4 linked regions of the Callithrix jacchus genome follow. The protein of the gene in region 2 purifies or fractionates together with the protein of the main gene of each other region. This does not show direct contact. Links are inferred from orthologs where the notes say so. Each region holds a gene or a part of one and is shown on either strand. Other genes may lie near its edges.

Region 1 (4,457 bases), on a different chromosome or scaffold from region 2:
GCAAGCAGGTGAAAACCCAGGTCACCTGCCTAGCTCTGAAGAAAGAGTTGAGGCTTGGCTGAGCACTTCCCATCCCACCCCTCTCCCTGGGAAGGGCTGTTTAAATTTTCAGGGAAGTCACCAGCTTCCTGCGTTCCCCCTCCCCAGTATTGGTGGGGGTGGGGCACTGAGATGCCAGCTTCATTCCCTGGGTTCTCCAGCAGTGGTTCATCTGGAGGGAGTGGGTCCTGTGTGGATCCTTGAGTAGGGGTGGCTGAGGAGATGTGGTTTGGCGACCCCCATAACTCTGGCGTTCCTGTTCTGGGTAATTTTCCATCGCAGCCACTTCTGAGAGAGGAACAAAGGGAGCTGCATGTCCAAGCCCAGGGACTTGGCTTTGTGGCTTCTCTCCCCCACACACCCCTTCTAACATGCACAGGAATTTTACTCCTGCTTAGGGTGTGGTCAGACCATATCTGGAGTCTGAGCAAGGCAGTCTGCAGGATGGCTTGACTCATTAAAGCCCAGGGTCCAGAGGGCCTGAGGACCAGGCCCTGGTGAGTTTCCTTGGCTGCCCTCCACCAAGGGTGCTTCTGTCTGCTTGCATACCTCTGGGGACAGGGAGCTCACTGTCTTATCACATTCAGATAACTGAATGTTAATTCTGGTTTATTTCAACCCACCTCATTGGGACCCCTTCCCTCCTTCCCGCTCCACCTGGCTCTGTCCCTAGGCCACAGAACTGGGTTTGGTTTCTCTCTTCTCATCAGGGCTGTCTGCTCTGACCTAGTCCCAGCTGTCATGGTCCAGGGCAGCCTGGCTCTGAGCTAAAGCTCAGCCAACTCTTCCTTGTGGCCCCTGTCTTGGCCACTCCCAGGAACAAGCACCAAATTTGGGATCAGACAGCCCTGGGGCCAGCCGTCCTTGGGTACCCGCTTCCTCTGTCAGGAGCGGCACTGGGCCTGCTGGGGTCCTATCCCTAGGGCTGGATCTGGGACGAAACCAGATGACGACGATAGGAAATTCCAGCCTCTTTCTTCAGTCACTCCTGTCTTCAGGTGGCCAATCTTCTGGTTTCTTTGGAGAGAGGGCAGGCTGATCTCCACATCGTCACTAGCCTCCCAGCCTGCCGGTGAGGAAGCATCATGAGGCCCACGTTACAAATGAGGGAAACTGAAGCTGAGTGATGTAACTGGCCCAGCAGTTACATCAGGTCTGCTCACAACACAGCAAACCTGGGACCCCTGTAACTTGGGTCCTGGTCTGTGTTGTTCTCAAGAGTGAAATCTAGGAAGTGAGGAAGCTTTGGTTTGTGATGGGCCCAGGCCTGGGGCTTCCACTCAGCTCCTTGCTTGGTGCTGGAGAAACCGAGGCCCAGAGAGAGGACTTGGTTTACCCGCGTTCCCGCAGCAGCCGGCCAGAGGCCGCTCTGCCACGGTGCGCGAGGCTGGACAAAATGAATGACTGGAGGGCGCTCTGGAGGAGGGGCCCGCTGAGGGCAGATTTGTGGCGCAGACTGGGGATCAGGGGTACCCGCTCTCTCAAGGTGGGGCGGGGCCGTCTATCTGGGAGGGCGGGGCCTCCCCCGAAAGGCCCCGCCTCCTCCTTCACCGCCCAGCGGAGCCGCTGCCGCGGGAACCCAGTTTCCGAGGAACTTTTCGCGGGCGCCGGACCTCCTGCGAGGCCAGGGCAGGACACGAACGCGTGGAGCGGCGGCGGAAGCTGCGAGCCGGGACCGGCGGCAGTCCCTCAGAAGGGCCGTGCGCGGCGGCGGGCCCGGCGGGCCTCCCGGAGGAGGCGGCTGCGCCATGGACGAGCTGCCCTTCAGCGAGGCGGTTTTGGAGCAGGCGTTGAGCGAGCCGTGCGATCTGGACGCGGCGCTGCTGACCGACATCGAAGGTGCGTCAGGGTGGGCAGGGCTTGAAGCCGCGCCGGGTGGCGCGAGTGGGGGGCGCGCAGGTGGCTCCCTGGCCTTTGTCTCCCCCCTCCCCGGGCGCCAGCTTCGTGCTGAGCTGCGCGCCGTGGACCTCGGTGTCCCGGGCCTCGCCGAGCCTTCCTGGCTCCCGCCCTGGCGTTTCGAGCCGCGCGCTCGGCGAGGACTCCCGGGCCGGGCCGGTGTCCCTTGGCGGCTCCGGGCCGGGACACGTGCGCCTCTACGCGTCCCAGGCCGGGTACCGCCCGACCGGTGGGTGAGTCTCCAGCCCTGTGGCGGCCGCGGCTGGAGCTGGGGACCCGGGCGTCGTCGAAGCCCCGCCCCAGCCCCAGCCGTGACGTCAATGAGAGGTTACTCACGGTCATTCCCTCCGGCCCGAGAGTTCAGCTGGGCGTCGGAGCTCGTGCGCAAGCGCACGGGCGCTGCTCGCCCACTTGCCCGGCCACGGGTCGGGTTTCCCCGGTCTTCTACCGGCATCGCCTCCGCACTCATTCACTAACCGAATGCCAGGCCCCGTCTTAAGCACCGAGGGATCACAGACAGTCCTGGGCACCCGCTCTTTTCGGGAACACCATCCCCCGGGAAACCAGCAAATAGATATTTAGTTGCACGTTGGGTGGAGCGGGGCGAGGGGAGGGCAGGTAGGTGGCTACTTTGGGTAGAGCGTCAGGGACTTCTGAGCTGAGACCTGAGGGCCACCCCCAGGACTAGCAGGGAAAGATGTTTTCCAGGCCAGGGCGAGGGAAGGGCGAAGGCCCCGAGGCAGGGCCTAAGTGTGAGGAGTTAAAGGCTCGTAAAGGTTGCGGAGGGAGAGGACGCCAGCAGCCTTACTCGGCCAGGGAAGGGGCGGAGCAGGACCGCGGCACCTGCTTCCATCTTTGGAGCACCACACTGGCTGTCAGGGGACGGGGTTTGGGGCCAACGGTGGCACTAAGTGCCAGTTAGGAGGCCCGTTGCTTCCATTTTGCAGACAGCAAAGGAAAGTCCCAGCAAATTTCCTCCATGGTTTCCGTGCAGGAGCTTTAGCAACATGGGCTAAGTTGCACTTGGTTGATGAGGAAACTGAGGACGAGGTTGCAGGAAGAAGATGCCTAGACTCACAACCTGAATGGACATGTCCGTGGAACCTGTGGCCACCCTGGGGCTGGCAAAACAGATGTATCTATGCCACCCCCACTCCTGCCCTACTGCAGCCTTGCAGATGAGCTCAGCTGGCTGCCAGCTCCAGGAGCTTCCCAGCCCTTCCTCCTTCCCTCTGGGGCTTGGCTAGGGGAGGACCCAAGAGGAGAGGCCCTGATTTTGAGGCTTTTCCAAAACAGCCTCCCCTACACCTGGCAGGAGGGGTTGTCCTTCACTGCATCCTGGAAAGGTGGACCCTGAAATCCCAAGCCCTAGGGAGATCTAGGCCTGACTTAACTAGTTCCATAGCACAGGGCCCAGTGAGGGTAGTCCAAGAGGCAGCAGGACCAAGCCAGCCGGACATGGGCTTTGGGGTCAGAACTTGAACCTGGATGCTCCTCACTTCCTCTGCCATCCTGCTCAAGCCCTCTCACTCTCTGAACCTTAGTTTCCACCTCCAGAAGAATGAGGATACAAACCCTCCCTTCATGGGCAGCTGGACAGCAGAATCCGGTCTGGGCCACAGGTCTGATACAGACCTTTCTTACTGACTCATGGATAAAAACACTGTCTCTCCAGATCCAAAGGCCAGGCATGGGCAGCCATGTGGCCCAAGTTCTAGTCTGTGAGAGAGCCCCAGTGCCTTGAAGATTCGGCAGCCCCTTCTCACTAGGCAGGCCCAGCTTTACCCAGTTCAGTAGAGGATTTTTCAGTTTTTATTCAAACTTCCTGTTCTTTCCAATTAAACATATTTTTTTTTTATTATTTGTTTTGTTTTGTTTTTTGAGTCGGAGTTTCACTCTTGTTACCCAGGCTGGAGTGCAATGACGCGATCTTGGCTCACTGCAACCTCCGCCTCCTGGGTTCAGGCAATTTTCCTGCCTCAGCCTCCCAAGTAGCTGATATTACAGGCATGTGCCACCATGCCCAGCTAATTTTTTGTATTTTTAGTAGAGCTGGGATTTCACCATGTTGACCAGGATGGTCTCGATCTCTTAACCTCGTGATCCACCCACCTCGGTCTCCCAAAGTGCTGGAATTACAGGTGTGAGCCACCGTGCCCAGCCCCAATTACACATCTTTTTTCATTGTAGAACAATTAGCAAGTGCAAGTGAGCAAAAAGAAGAAACTAAAACCTTTAGACCAGGTGTGGTGGCTCACGCCTATAATCCCAGCACTTTAGGAGGTTGAAGCAGGAGGACTACTTTTATCCAGAAATTTGAGACCAGCCTCGGCCACATGACAAGATCCTGTCTCTACAAAAATAAAAAAATTAGCTGGGTGTGGGTAACACATGTTTGTAGTCTCAGCCATGCTGGAGGCTGAAGTGGGAGGACTGCTTGAAGCTGGAGCTGCAGTGAGCTGTAACTGCGCCACTGCACGCAGCCTGGGTGACAGTGAGATTCTGTCTCAAATAAAACTTTA
Region 2 (3,924 bases):
AACAATGTGAAGACATGAGTACACAGCAAACATCCAGTCCAGGGAAGGCCAAGTACCCAGAAGTGCAAGGCTCTCTGGCCGGAGGGCTCACCCTATGGCCCAGTGGAGCCTGCTGGGGACCTACCCGCCATTGAGGGTGGGCGTCAGGCCGAAGAGTGTGCAGAGTCCCACAGACATGAGCAGCGAGCTGAGCACCGTGACCACAGCGGCCAGGGCCAGCCCCCACTTGGACTTGACCATGTCGATCTTGCCTGGAGGGCAGAGAGGGCACATCAGGGTGGCCCCTCCCCCAGCCCCCGGCACGCAGGGGCTCCCTAGAGTAGGGTACCTTGACAGTTGAGGAAGGGAAAGCTGGTTTCACCAAAACTAAGGGACAGGCACAAGCACTTCCCACTGTCATGAACACAGTACACCTTTCAGGAACCCTAACCCAGGAAGGGGCTGAATGTGGAAAGAGCCCTGGCCCCACCCAAGCCCCTAAGACCCTGCTGGGGGGTGAAGCCCCAGCTCTGGCAACCACCAGGTGTGTTCCTATATCTCTACCCGAAGCCACCTCCAGAGGCAAGGAACCAGGTGACATGGAGATGCCCATTTAGCTTGGAGAAAGCCCCTGACCTCCCTGTCATGAACCTACGCGTGGAGAAGTAGATGTAGGCAAACAAGATGATATAGGTGGTCACGAGGGGGATGAGCTCGGCGACACCAATCTCCTCCTTGAAGTGCACGTGGACCAGGCTCTCCGCCCGAAGGCTGCAGTTGGGGCTGGGGTGCAGAAGCATCAGGCGGGCACGCAGGCTGCCCAGGAACCTGGTCAAGAGCAAGGTTGGGGTAGATGGAAGGGTCCCTCTTGGTTCTGGGGACAAAGACAATTCTAGATAGAGGGTCCATCAGGACCTCCCCTCCTGCCCCTGTGTTGGAAGGGAACTTCCCTATGATGCCTGAGATTCTCTATAATCTCCAGGGATACTGGGAAAATCACAAAGGGGACAGAGTTTTCTCAGGAGCTCCTCCTACTCCTTTCTCAATCTCCTCCCTTTCTGGACCTACTACACTACACTTGATTGCCAGGAGAGCCTATCAGAAGCACCTCGAGTGCCTTTGCCAGCTGGGGAGCCACCTGCAGTGCCCCACTGGAAAGGACTCAGGCCTTAGGGGGCTCAGTAGTAACCAGATGCCTGCCCTAGGCTCAAGAGAGACCAGAGGAGGCACCAGGACACAGAGACTGCCAGCCCCGCCTTAGTCCCCTACGCTTAATCAGCTGCCAGTTCACCTCCATTAAAATGTGGCAGACAGCATCGCTTAGTCTAAGGGATATAAACATTTCAACAGGAAGCCCGGAAACTCTCGAAGTTCCCAGGGGGGCATTCAGAACACTAACCAGAAGAGGAACTACTCAAAACCTCACGTCACTCAGCAGACCAGTCAGGAGCCCAGGGCACTTTCAATCTTACTTGGCATGGTAGCGCTGGAAGACCAGGGTGATGGTATAGGAGACCATCCTCTTCCTGGTGTAGAGGCTCACCCCACTGTACTTCCCGGGAACACCAAACAACAAGTCTGCAGGCAGAAACCAGCAGGTACTGACAAAGAAATCGCAGCTACTGCAAAGCCACCAAGGACCCCTTTTTCACCCCCACCCCAGGAAATGGGGTAAACTCTGATCCGCCTAAGTGCCCATCAAAAAGACGGTGACCAATGGGCACCCTTACATGTCTGAAGGGAACTTGTGCCAGGGCTACCTTTGAGCGTGGCTGAAGTCTGCAGGGTTTTAGGCTCGTGCTGGTGGATGGTCCCGATGATGTCAGGATCAGCATGGAAGCGTTCCCAGTCATTCTGCCAGAAGTTCCCAGGGGACAGCAGCAGGCAACCATGCTCAGGGAGTAGGTTCCTGAGCTTCCTGAGGCCTGGCAGTAGGTCGGTCACTTGCAGACACAACTCCTCTAAGCTTCTGGTCCCAGAGCTATGCAGGAGACAGGACAAGGCAGCTGCTGTGTCTGCCACCAGAGGGCAGATCTGTTATACTTAGGGTACGTCTTCTGTCTGTTCTCCAATGCCCCGTATTTGCTCTGGTATCACCAAAGAGCCTGATGATTAGGGCAGCAGGGCAAAGTACTTCCAGGTGGCCAATTACCTAACCATGTCTGACTTTCAAAGTGCATCCAGAGCCCCAAAGCCCATCCCTTCTGAGGACAGGCAAGTGTACCATCGGAGCATGTACAACCCTGCCCACTAATACACCCTGGCCAATTCAGTGGATGACCAGGGAGTGGGATAAACTAGGAGCTTCATTTAGTTCATCAAAATATTTGTCAATGCCACTATCTAACTAAAATCTGGCAGTGATGCAGCTTGCCAATTACACATTTTGTATGCCAAGCCAGCATAATCCAGAGACCCACTGATGGCAGGGGAGCATGATCTGGGCTGGGGCTTCAGAAGGTACCCCCAGGTAGAGCTTGCTTCTCATTGATAGAGACACCGCCATTACACACCATAACACACAGGCAGGAAGCCATGCGGGTCATGAGTCAGCTCAGTGGACACTGAGTGCATCTGAGATGTAAGGATGAGACTCAGGGCTGTGTGTGTGCCACTGGCATAGGTCCAAGGGCAATGCAGCCACCATGGACCCACAAGGATGCTGAGAAATTGAAGGCTGGCTCATCCTCCATCCTTTTTGCTTGTTCTATTTCTGCAGAGCTGACTGGCTCACTGGAGTTACGCTGAGGTCCGTAACTCTCCCTTTAGTACAGAATGGGATTCAGGGAGGCCAGTGACTCTGAGAGGGGTACCTGTCTCTCAGCACGTGGTTCCGGATCTCCTCCACCAGCTGGAACGCCCGGGACAGAGGTGAACGAAATACATCTACTGCCAGGAGGTTCTTGTGCCAGGGAAACACTGAGGACTTCACAAATATCTGCTGGACATAAGCCACCGGGGCACCCACATACTGCAGAAGAAATGAGGGAGGGGTGGAAAGGGCAGTTCAGCACAGGAGGAAGAAACGTGATCCAACTCAAGAAACTGAATGGGCATCTGAAACCATGCCCCATAGAGTTAAAGAAACCAATGACTAATAGAAGTTCTTGAGTTTGCAGTATGGCAGATAAGAAACAATTGGCTTAAACCCAGATATTCCCTCCACTTATGAGATAAAAGAACTGGCTGAAATAAGCTGGAACCAAGATGGCCGACAAGTTGTGCAGAATGAGGCTGCTGGTGTCACAGCCCGAATTTCCACTGCATATTTCATACTAACTCCCCCAGAATTTGCACGTGGGACCCATGAGGTGGCATGAAGAGATAACTGCATGCTCAAGAACTTTCCAGACATCCCCCTTCCTTCCACCAATCATCTGCTAATCCCAGTATCCACCCTCTAAACCTTTTCTAATAAAATTACTGCCTCTCCTGTGTTCAAATCCTAAAAAAAAAAAAAAAGGAAAAAAAAAATTACTGCCTTAAAGCCAGCACAGGGAGACAGATTTGATCCGGACTCCTGTTGCCTAGGGAGTTAACCTTCAATATAAAGCTTTTTTTTTTTTGAGACGGAGTTTCGCTCTTGTTACCCAGGCTGGAGTGCAATGGCGCGATCTCGGCTCACCGCAACCTCCGCCTCCTGGGTTCAGGCAATTCTCCTGCCTCAGCCTCCTGAATATAAAGCTTTTCTTTTCCCTGAATCCTGGTGTCACAGTATTGGCTTCTAACACATTGGACAGTGAGCTCCTTTTGCTCAATAACACATCTACTGTGGGACCAGGTGTAGGCAAACTATGGCTTATAGGCCAAATGAGGGCCCACGCCTGTTTTTTCTTTTTGAGACAGGGTCTCCACTCTTGTCACCCAATCAGCTCACTGCAACCTCAATCTCCCAGGCTAAAGCAATCCTCTCACCTCAACACCCCCACCCCCCAAGTAGCTGAG
Region 3 (3,924 bases), on a different chromosome or scaffold from region 2:
ATTTTTGCCATTTGACTTCTCTCTGGAATCCCATTCCTTCCCCCCGTCCACATTCCAAGTTCATGTCTATGAAGAACTTCCTAACTGTTCCAAACCACAGTGATCTCTTCTCTGTGTCCCAGTTACATAATCCTCATAATTTTACACATGAGAACACAAACATGCAGAGCCACGTCCCATCAGAGAGCAGGCCGGGCTTTGAGACTGACTTTTCTCTTCTTGGTCTGGTGCTCTTTCCACAGCATGGGGCTTGACTGTGCAGGAATCAGAGAGTAGAGAAGCCCGTGTGGGGCTCGCTCTCTCCATCCTTGCGCACGAGCATGTGTGCACAGTAGGTGCTCAGTGTCTTGTACAGTACATGCTAGAACCCCGAAAATCAACTCCAGGGCCACTCTAGGGGCATGTGACCCAGACTGTCAAAGTCAATTCAGCAAATACATATCTCATCACGTGCCCAGTCCCATTGTGGGGTGGTGGCAGGAGTGTCAGCTGTGCTGCGGGGAGTGGACAGATTTCATTGTAAGGTAGAAACCACACTGCATGAAAAGACAGGGTGAACTACACGGTCATGTAAGTTTCGCTTCAGGGACATGGGGGTTTTAAATATAAGGTTACATATTGCTCATATTCACATGAATAGCTTCTGCTTGATTCATTTCTGTGTTTGCTAAGACATATTCAGCTACACTAAATAATAGTGATTTTTAAAAAACTTTTCAAAACAGTACGGTTTCATGGGAGTGCTACTCAAAGAGAACGAGAATGTAAAATCAGTCTTAGCTATGAAGTTCCAGCTGATAGTATTTTCTGGGAGAAGGACTGGTTCAGGTGATGTGCTGTGTTATTTACGACCACGTTGAAATTCTGGAACTTAAGCCTGCTGTGTTCTAACTGTCATCTTTTTTTAAACAGCTGTTGTTGGCCTACTGTACCCCTGTATCGACAGTCACCTCGGAGAACCCCACAAGTTTAAGAGAGAATGGGCCAGTGTCATGCGCTGCATAGCCGTTTTTGTTGGCATTAACCATGCCAGTGCTGTATCCTTGTTTCTGTGCTATGTCTAGAGGATCTTTTTAGGTGATATGTTGAAGTTTTGTTTTGTCATGTTTGATGAGTATTTCATATTCGTGCAGTATACTCAAATGACGCCATGTCATAATGCAAACGTGATGGTGGCCCCTGCCCATTTCAGGTTACTGAAAAGAGAAAGAAGAATGGGGGCTCTAGATGACTTGGTAGTAAATATATTGTTTTATGATCAAAGTGCTGACAGAACTTTATATATAGCTTTCAGCAAGTTTGCGACTCGGTGATGCCAGGGAGATTTCAGGTGATCTTGATGATCACTGTAAGCTCTTACCCAACAGACCCTTCCTTAGCTCACTACGCGGGTTTTTATGGGCAGTTAATTATTTGTGGTGCAATAATTTAAAAACCATGTTTTTAACCCCTGCGTGTGTGTGTTTTAAAGTGTTTTTTATCTTACTAAGAATCATTCAGCTTTTCCTTAACTCTTGCATCACCAGAAATTGGATTTTGCCAACAACGTCCAGCTGTCCTTGACTTTGGCAGCCCTGTCTCTGGGCCTCTGGTGGACGTTCGATCGCTCCAGAAGTGGCCTTGGGCTTGGCATCACTATAGCTTTTCTAGCTACCCTGATCACTCAGTTCCTCGTGTATAATGGTGTCTATCAGTAAGTGTCTGTTTTCAAATATTGACTTTGGAAAACACTTAACTTTCACAAAAACATCCATAAAGCTTAGATATTTTTATATTTTATTTGGTTTTTATATGGAATGATATAGATTCAGGCATGAAATTCTCAAAAATGTTTCTATTCATAACTTAATGCAAAGGAAAACCAAGTAGCAGCAGTTACAACAATCCATTCAAATATTAACATTTTGTAACACTTCGTGGCTGATGCATTCTGCATATCCCCCTTACAGAGGATCTTTGATGCAGAACTGAGCCAGGTGCAACTGACTGCTAAGGCACAGTTTCTTTTCTTGCTGCAGGTACACATCCCCAGACTTCCTCTATATTCGTTCTTGGCTCCCCTGTATATTTTTCTCAGGAGGCGTCACAGTGGGCAACATAGGACGACAGTTAGCTATGGTAAGTGAAACGATCATATCATCTTCTCAGACTTCCGTCTTTTTATCTTGATAGAATTATTTGACATGATACATTCAAATCTGTGTTTATATATTCCAGTTCAGATTCAAGTGACAATAACTGAGGAAAGCTTGTATTTAAAAAAAATAGGTAATGATACCCAGGTAAAAGTTCATAGGTACATAAACTCATATTTTATCTAGAAAGGAACTAGAGCTCTCGCACTGCCCTTTGAATTGCAGGTGTGTTCATTGTTCTGAATTTTCATAACTTCTGTAGTAAGCAGTACAGAAAGTGACTGGTGGCTCCAGTGAATGGCGTATGAGTGTCCCCGCCTCCATCACCATCAGAAGCAGATCTGGATGTCCTCATGCAGTGATACTTTGCTCCCTAAGCATCTGTCTGCAAGAGTTTCTTTTCACAAAATCAAGAGTGTATGCAAATGATGCTGGCCTCTTAGTCCGCAAGCCAAGCAAAGGGAACTGAGGCTGCAGAGTCTCTCTCAGGCCAGGGCAGGGCCTAGTTCAGGCAGGCAGCACCCTTCTGTGGGGCAGGTGGCCCTCGGCATGGAGAAGCGGTGACGAGAACACTGCTGCACATGGCTAGGTCCCCATGTGGACGGACGTCCTGCCTGTCCTCCCTGCACTACCCTGCAGAGCTTCTCTCACAGCCCCCGAGGGGGATGAAAAGGCAGATGAATCCCAGGATGGCGCCAGCAGTTTCCATTAAAAACTGGCATCTGAGCACTTTAATCTAAAAAAAAATAGAGGCGGACTTTTAAGTGTTACTTTGAGTTGACTTTGACTGGCAGTCTGAAATAAAGTGAATTAAAAAAAATCTAGAGCTATTGCTCTTGGAGATAAGCTCCGGGACTTTCCTGGAAAACTTATCTTGGTACCTCATGCTATTTTTAAAACAGTACATTTATGTTTCCCAGCTGATACCCTTCTGTGAGAAGTTGAATTTGAAGGCCACTTGGCTGTTTCACAAAAGCAGAAGTAATTGCAAGTGGAATTTGTAGTGTTCCACTGGTTACTGAGTCTCTACTGGCAGATTTCTCATGACGGAGAAGAAAGGACTGCTTGCCTTTTTTTTTTTTTGAGACAGAGCTCACTGAGTCACCCGGACTGGTACCATCACAGCTCACTGTAACCTTGAACTCCTGGACTCAAGCAGTCCTCCCATCTCAGCCTCCTGAGTAGCTGGAATTACAGGCACATGCCACCATGCCTGGCTAATTTTTTTATTTTTTGTAGAGATGGTATCTCCCTGTGTTGTTGAGGCTGGGCTTGAACTCCTGGGCTCCAGTGATCCTCCCACCTTGGCTGCCTAAAGCACGGGGATTTTAGGCGTGAACCTGGCCTTGCTTTTTTCGATATTACAAATCTGGTTGGATGGTCCCACATGAAAATAGTACATCGCTTCTGCGGATTCACCTTCATCACTGTTAAGTCTTCCGAGGAGGGCTAGGCAACTCCATCACTGCTTTCTTGCTTTCTGTTTTTGTTTCAGTGCTCTTTGGGAGAGAATTCCTAAGGTGTTTAGAATAAAACTGCCCTCAACCAGATTGACTATTTATACATTATAATTAAAACTTGAATGACATTTAAAGAGTTGGTTATTTCTGTAAAGTAGATTGATGCTATTATATGTCAAGGCTTTTTAAATTAGTTTTAAGAAACGAGCATTATTTTGGTGGATGAAGAAATTTCACAACATTCATAAGTTCTAAACATCTAGAAATAGAGGAAACATTTTCAGTTTTGAAGATAGTTTCATTAAGTAATTCCTGCTGTGCTCCTTTGA
Region 4 (4,483 bases), on a different chromosome or scaffold from region 2:
TTAGGAGGCCCAGACAGGAGGACCGCAGGTGCCCAGGAGTTCAAGACTAACCTGGGCAACATAGTGACACTGGCTCTCCAAAAAATATATATATATTAGCTGGGTGTGGTGGCACATGCCTTAGTCCTAGCTACTTGGGAAGCTGAGCTGGGAGGATTGCTTAAACCCAAGAGTTCAAGGCTGCAGTAAGCTACGATTATGCCACTGGACTCCAGCCTGGGCAAGAGCCAGATCCTGTCTCTAAAAAAAATTAGGTGGCTCACACCTGTAATCCTAGCACTTTGAGAGGCCAAGGCAGGAGGACCATTTGAGCCCAAAAGTTTGTGACCTATGCTAGCCTGGCAACAGAGTGAGACCTCATCTCTACAAAACTTCAGAAGATTTGCAGGGCGTGGTAGCACACGTCTGTGGTTCCAGCTACTTGGGAGGCTGAGGTGTGAGGACTGCTTGAGTCCAGAAAGTCAAGGCTGCAGTGAGCTGTGATTGTGCCACTGCACTCCAGCCTGGGTGACAGAATACAGCCCTGTCTCAAAAAATAACTAAATATATAAAAATTAAAATTTGAAAATTAGATAAATAAACAAGTAGGAATTGATCATGGAACAGGAATGCAAAATGCACATGAATTCCTTTCTGTGCCCTTGCTGGTAGACAGTTACAGACATACAGTACTTTCTACTGGCTGTGTAATCTTCAGTAAATTAATGAACTGCCCTGGGCCTCACTTTCAGGATCTGTGAGAGGGAGATGACTAGTGTAACAGTTCTCGCTACCTGATGGTTATGAGAATTAAGAACATTAATGTGTATAAGTGTTTAACACTGGCTGGCACAGAAGTTCTTCAAACATGTTAGCTGCCCTTGGTAGGTACCCAACCTCCAACCCCCATTTGTTAACCCATCTCTGAATTTAGGAGCACTCAGTGAAGAGTCTGTGGTTAGAAGTGGGGCTTCAATTAAGGGTCTTACCACACTGTCCACAAGACTAAAATGGAAAACAAGGACACACCAAGGGGAGAAATACTACAAAAAGCAAAATGGGGATATGGCAAACAGATCCTTTTCAATTAGCTGCTGCATTTATCTCTTCTCTTGAAGAGAATCTTCTGCTGCTTCTGTTTCTTCATCTGCACAACAGGGATGCAGCCATCATACATGCCTGCAAGGCTGTAGTGAGATCCTAGATATGAAAGCATTCTGTAAACTGAAAAGTACCATGCATCTGCGTTTTTGCCTAAAGCTCTCTAAGGTGCGTGGCCTTAGATAAGTCAGCATCTCCTGTCCTCAGCTTCTTTCATTACCGTATTACAATAGGGGTAATCAGAATATCTCACATGATTGTTGTGAAGAAGTGAAATAACACAAAGTATTTTGGAGCCCAGAACACACTATCAAGTTAGTAAGATTACTAGCCTAGTCAACTGGACTCTCTGAACGAAGGGGTACAAAAAAATCAATACTGGCCCAGGAAATCGAAGAACTGGGCTCTAACCAGCTGGGTGACCTTGAGCAAGCCGCTGACCCTTTCCAAATCGTGATTCTCGTGGTCGCAAAATGAGTATTTTTAAGAGAGGATCCCTAGGCTCCTACCAGCTCTTCCACTCCGCTGTTAAGGCGCCGAAACAAAGGCCACCCGCTCCCCAGCCCGTACCCGAGGGGCCACAACTCAAAATTCCTTCTGCTCAATTCCCTTTGTAGCGTGACAGCAGGAGCGCCCGGGTCTCCATCCCGGAGAGATGCATCCACACTCCGCTGCCACCGCTCTCTTCATCAGCAACTTGCTTCTGTGGCCACTGCCCAAAGTTTCGCAGAGCACCCGGCGACCCGGCCGTCGGTCAATCCCGGGAAGACCAAGGATGCGGGGTGCGCAGACCCGGGGCTGGGCCCCGGGAATCTCAAAGCCGCCCCTGCGGCCGGGCAGGTAGTGATAGGTGTGACACGCTGCCGCGGGCGGCGGGAGACCGGACCACGGAGAGGGCGTCTGGGCGCGCAAGGGAGGCGGCGGCCACGCGCTCTCCTTAGGCCGCTCCCTGAGACGCCCCCGCGATGTCGCTGGCCCCGCGCTCCAGAACCCAAGACCCTCGAGCTGCTTTCGGCTCCGCGGCGCCCCAGATCCCACGGCCTCCCAGAGCGGCGCGGCTGGGCTGGGCTCACGCTCGCAGAGCCGGAAGGGTTGGGGGCCGCCGGGGGGGATTGTGCGCGCGGGGTGCTTCCCGCGCGAGCCGGGGCTGCCGAGGAGTGGGCGCACGCGCACCCGGGCGCGCCACCGTAACCCCTTCCTCCCCGCGCGGCCCCCGTACTCCCACCCACCCACCACTCACCGTCGATGTCCCCCAGGGTCAGCTCGTCGCCCAGCTCCGTAAGGGTCTCCATGGTCTCCAGACCGCCCAGCTCGCCGCTCTCGTCCATCGCCCAGCTCAGCGCAGAAGCCCCCCTGCCGTCCCGCTCAGGGAGACGCGGGGGCGGTGCCGTCGCCACCGCCCATGACACCCGACAACCCCCGTCCGGTATCGCCTCACCGGCGGATGCCAGCGGCCGCCATGTTTGCGTTGCGCCCTGGCGCCGCGCGGAAAGGGCGGGGCGGGATTCCCCCGCCCCAGCCCGCGCCCCCTGCGGCCACGCCCCCAGGCCGCGCGCCCCCTTGTTTGTTGTCAATGGGACCAGGCTCATCTCAGCCAATGGGCGCGCGAGGCGGCGCGTGGGGTGATGGCGCGTCATCGATCAGCAGCTCAGATTTGCATAGCGAGGTCCCTCCCCCCGCAACCTGGGAGCGAATGCGGTGAGTAACCGCTCGGTCTTCATCTTAACCTGCTCCTCCTTGTTTAAAGGAGCCGCTGCCTTTTCCGTTGGATCTGCTCCACACGTTATTCCGTCCACCGGCCTGGGAGTGAAGGGTTAACAGACCACCCTCCACCTGCGACCGCCGCCGCCTACAGCCTTTGCTGGAAGCACATTACGTCACCTTCCCAGCGGCCTCCGGGGGCCCTGCTCGCTGGAGAAAGCCGGCGGAGTCAAATCTGGCCCCCCAGCGCTCAGGACCGGAGTCCGGGTCAACGAAGTCCCGCTGCTCCCAGCCCCTTTACAAAGGCTGGCACCGAGGCTTGACTGGGTTGCGAATTGTCCCAGGGCAGTCAGGAGTTATCGTCTTCTGCTTTGCACCCGCCGTGAACTAGCGCTTACTCCAGTGGTCCTCAATCCCTGGGACCTCGGAACCACAAGACCTGAAAACCATGCCAGTGCCCAGCCCTACCGCCGGCCTCCTGAGACGGGGACCCGAGCACGAGTATTTTGAAAAAGTTCCACCGAGATTCTGAAGCGCAGCCCACCTACGGATTCCTACTCCTTCAACGACCTCACTGCCCCATCTTGCAGCTGGCCAGCTGGTCGTGTTGTAAACATCTAGGAATTTATCCCAAGGAATAAAATCACAAGTACTTAAAGAAGTGCTGTAACTAGGAAGAAGTGAGAATAAGGAAATGAATATGTAAATTACATCCACACGACGGAATACCATGGATCATTAAAAATTACGCACACAAAGGTATATTTATTGACCAAAAAAAAGGCGATCACACTGTCAGTCATAGTTACGGGAGTGGTGAGATTTGGGGTGAATTTTACGTTTTTCTGACATTTCAGTATTGTTTAAATTACCTTTTATAATAAACATGTATAAACTAGTGAGAAATAGTGTCTTAATTTTGGGGAAAACAAGACAAGATTGTTCTCTTCATTGTTCACACACAGGGAGGCTGGTACAGAATACACCAGTCTCACCCTGAAAGACAGAAAACTAAACCCTGCTCTGGCCCCAGCACTCAGCAGAAAGGTGCCACCTTCAACTGTGCTGCCCAGTGGCTCCTGCAGGGCCCTTCACACTGTTGTGTGACTGGTACTCTGGGGGTATTCAGCAATAACTTCCATATAACTCTCTCTGGCCCAGGGCACCCACCTATAACCCAGAGCCTCAGTAACCCCCTGCAGAGGTGGCACACAGCACCTGTGCCCATAGTTCCTCCCTGGACCTGCCCAGAGGCTGTGATGCCTGGCCAAGTGGACTGAGGGGGTACAAGTGAAGGCTCAGTAGAAATGCTGGAAGAATAGTGGCTAAACCCAAACCTCAGGAAACTGATATTTTCCCCCTGGCCCTGGATCCCATGTAACTGAACATCTCTTCCAGGTGGTACCTTGCCCTGGCTGGCAGGAAGACAAGGACTGGCTCTGAGGTGTAGGGCAGCTTTTGACAAGTCACTTCTCAGGACCGAAGCTCTTCATCGCAAAAGGGACGGACTCGACTGAGTAACCACTACGTTTAGATGTCTACCACGGGTTGGGCACCTGCTACGGGTCACAGAAGAGAATTCTATATATGGTTTTGCTGTGAGCAAAAAGGGCGATATGTCAGAGGAAGTAAATGAAAAACCACCTGTCCTTTTCTTCTGCTTTCCCTAATCTTTCAGGATTCAGTTCAGATATTGCTTCCT

The links.
Region 1: the proteins of SCAP (region 2) and SREBF1 purify together in Homo sapiens (affinity purification with western blotting; 4 studies listed by BioGRID and IntAct, with this or other methods). This does not show direct contact. The link is inferred for Callithrix jacchus from reciprocal best matches to the Homo sapiens genes SCAP and SREBF1.
Region 3: the proteins of SCAP (region 2) and INSIG1 purify together in Homo sapiens (affinity purification with western blotting; 11 studies listed by BioGRID and IntAct, with this or other methods). This does not show direct contact. The link is inferred for Callithrix jacchus from reciprocal best matches to the Homo sapiens genes SCAP and INSIG1.
Region 4: the proteins of SCAP (region 2) and SREBF2 purify together in Homo sapiens (affinity purification with western blotting; 3 studies listed by BioGRID and IntAct, with this or other methods). This does not show direct contact. The link is inferred for Callithrix jacchus from reciprocal best matches to the Homo sapiens genes SCAP and SREBF2.

What each region holds. Positions count from the first base shown.
Region 1 is NC_133506.1:69,312,783-69,317,239, forward strand, and holds the start of SREBF1 (sterol regulatory element-binding protein 1), read left to right. Parts: upstream 1-1,620; 5' UTR 1,621-1,787; coding exon 1,788-1,878; intron 1,879-4,457.
Region 2 is NC_133516.1:30,074,846-30,078,769, forward strand, and holds part of SCAP (sterol regulatory element-binding protein cleavage-activating protein), read right to left. Parts: intron 2,951-3,924; coding exon 2,793-2,950; intron 1,961-2,792; coding exon 1,740-1,960; intron 1,558-1,739; coding exon 1,452-1,557; intron 808-1,451; coding exon 635-807; intron 252-634; coding exon 125-251; intron 1-124. UniProt on the Homo sapiens protein: Escort protein required for cholesterol as well as lipid homeostasis.
Region 3 is NC_133512.1:92,931,841-92,935,764, reverse strand, and holds part of INSIG1 (insulin-induced gene 1 protein), read left to right. Parts: intron 1-912; coding exon 913-1,037; intron 1,038-1,526; coding exon 1,527-1,693; intron 1,694-2,018; coding exon 2,019-2,118; intron 2,119-3,055; coding exon 3,056-3,126; intron 3,127-3,924. UniProt on the Homo sapiens protein: Oxysterol-binding protein that mediates feedback control of cholesterol synthesis by controlling both endoplasmic reticulum to Golgi transport of SCAP and degradation of HMGCR.
Region 4 is NC_133502.1:189,935,611-189,940,093, forward strand, and holds the start of SREBF2 (sterol regulatory element-binding protein 2), read right to left. Parts: upstream 2,950-4,483; 5' UTR 2,718-2,949; coding exon 2,321-2,717; intron 1-2,320.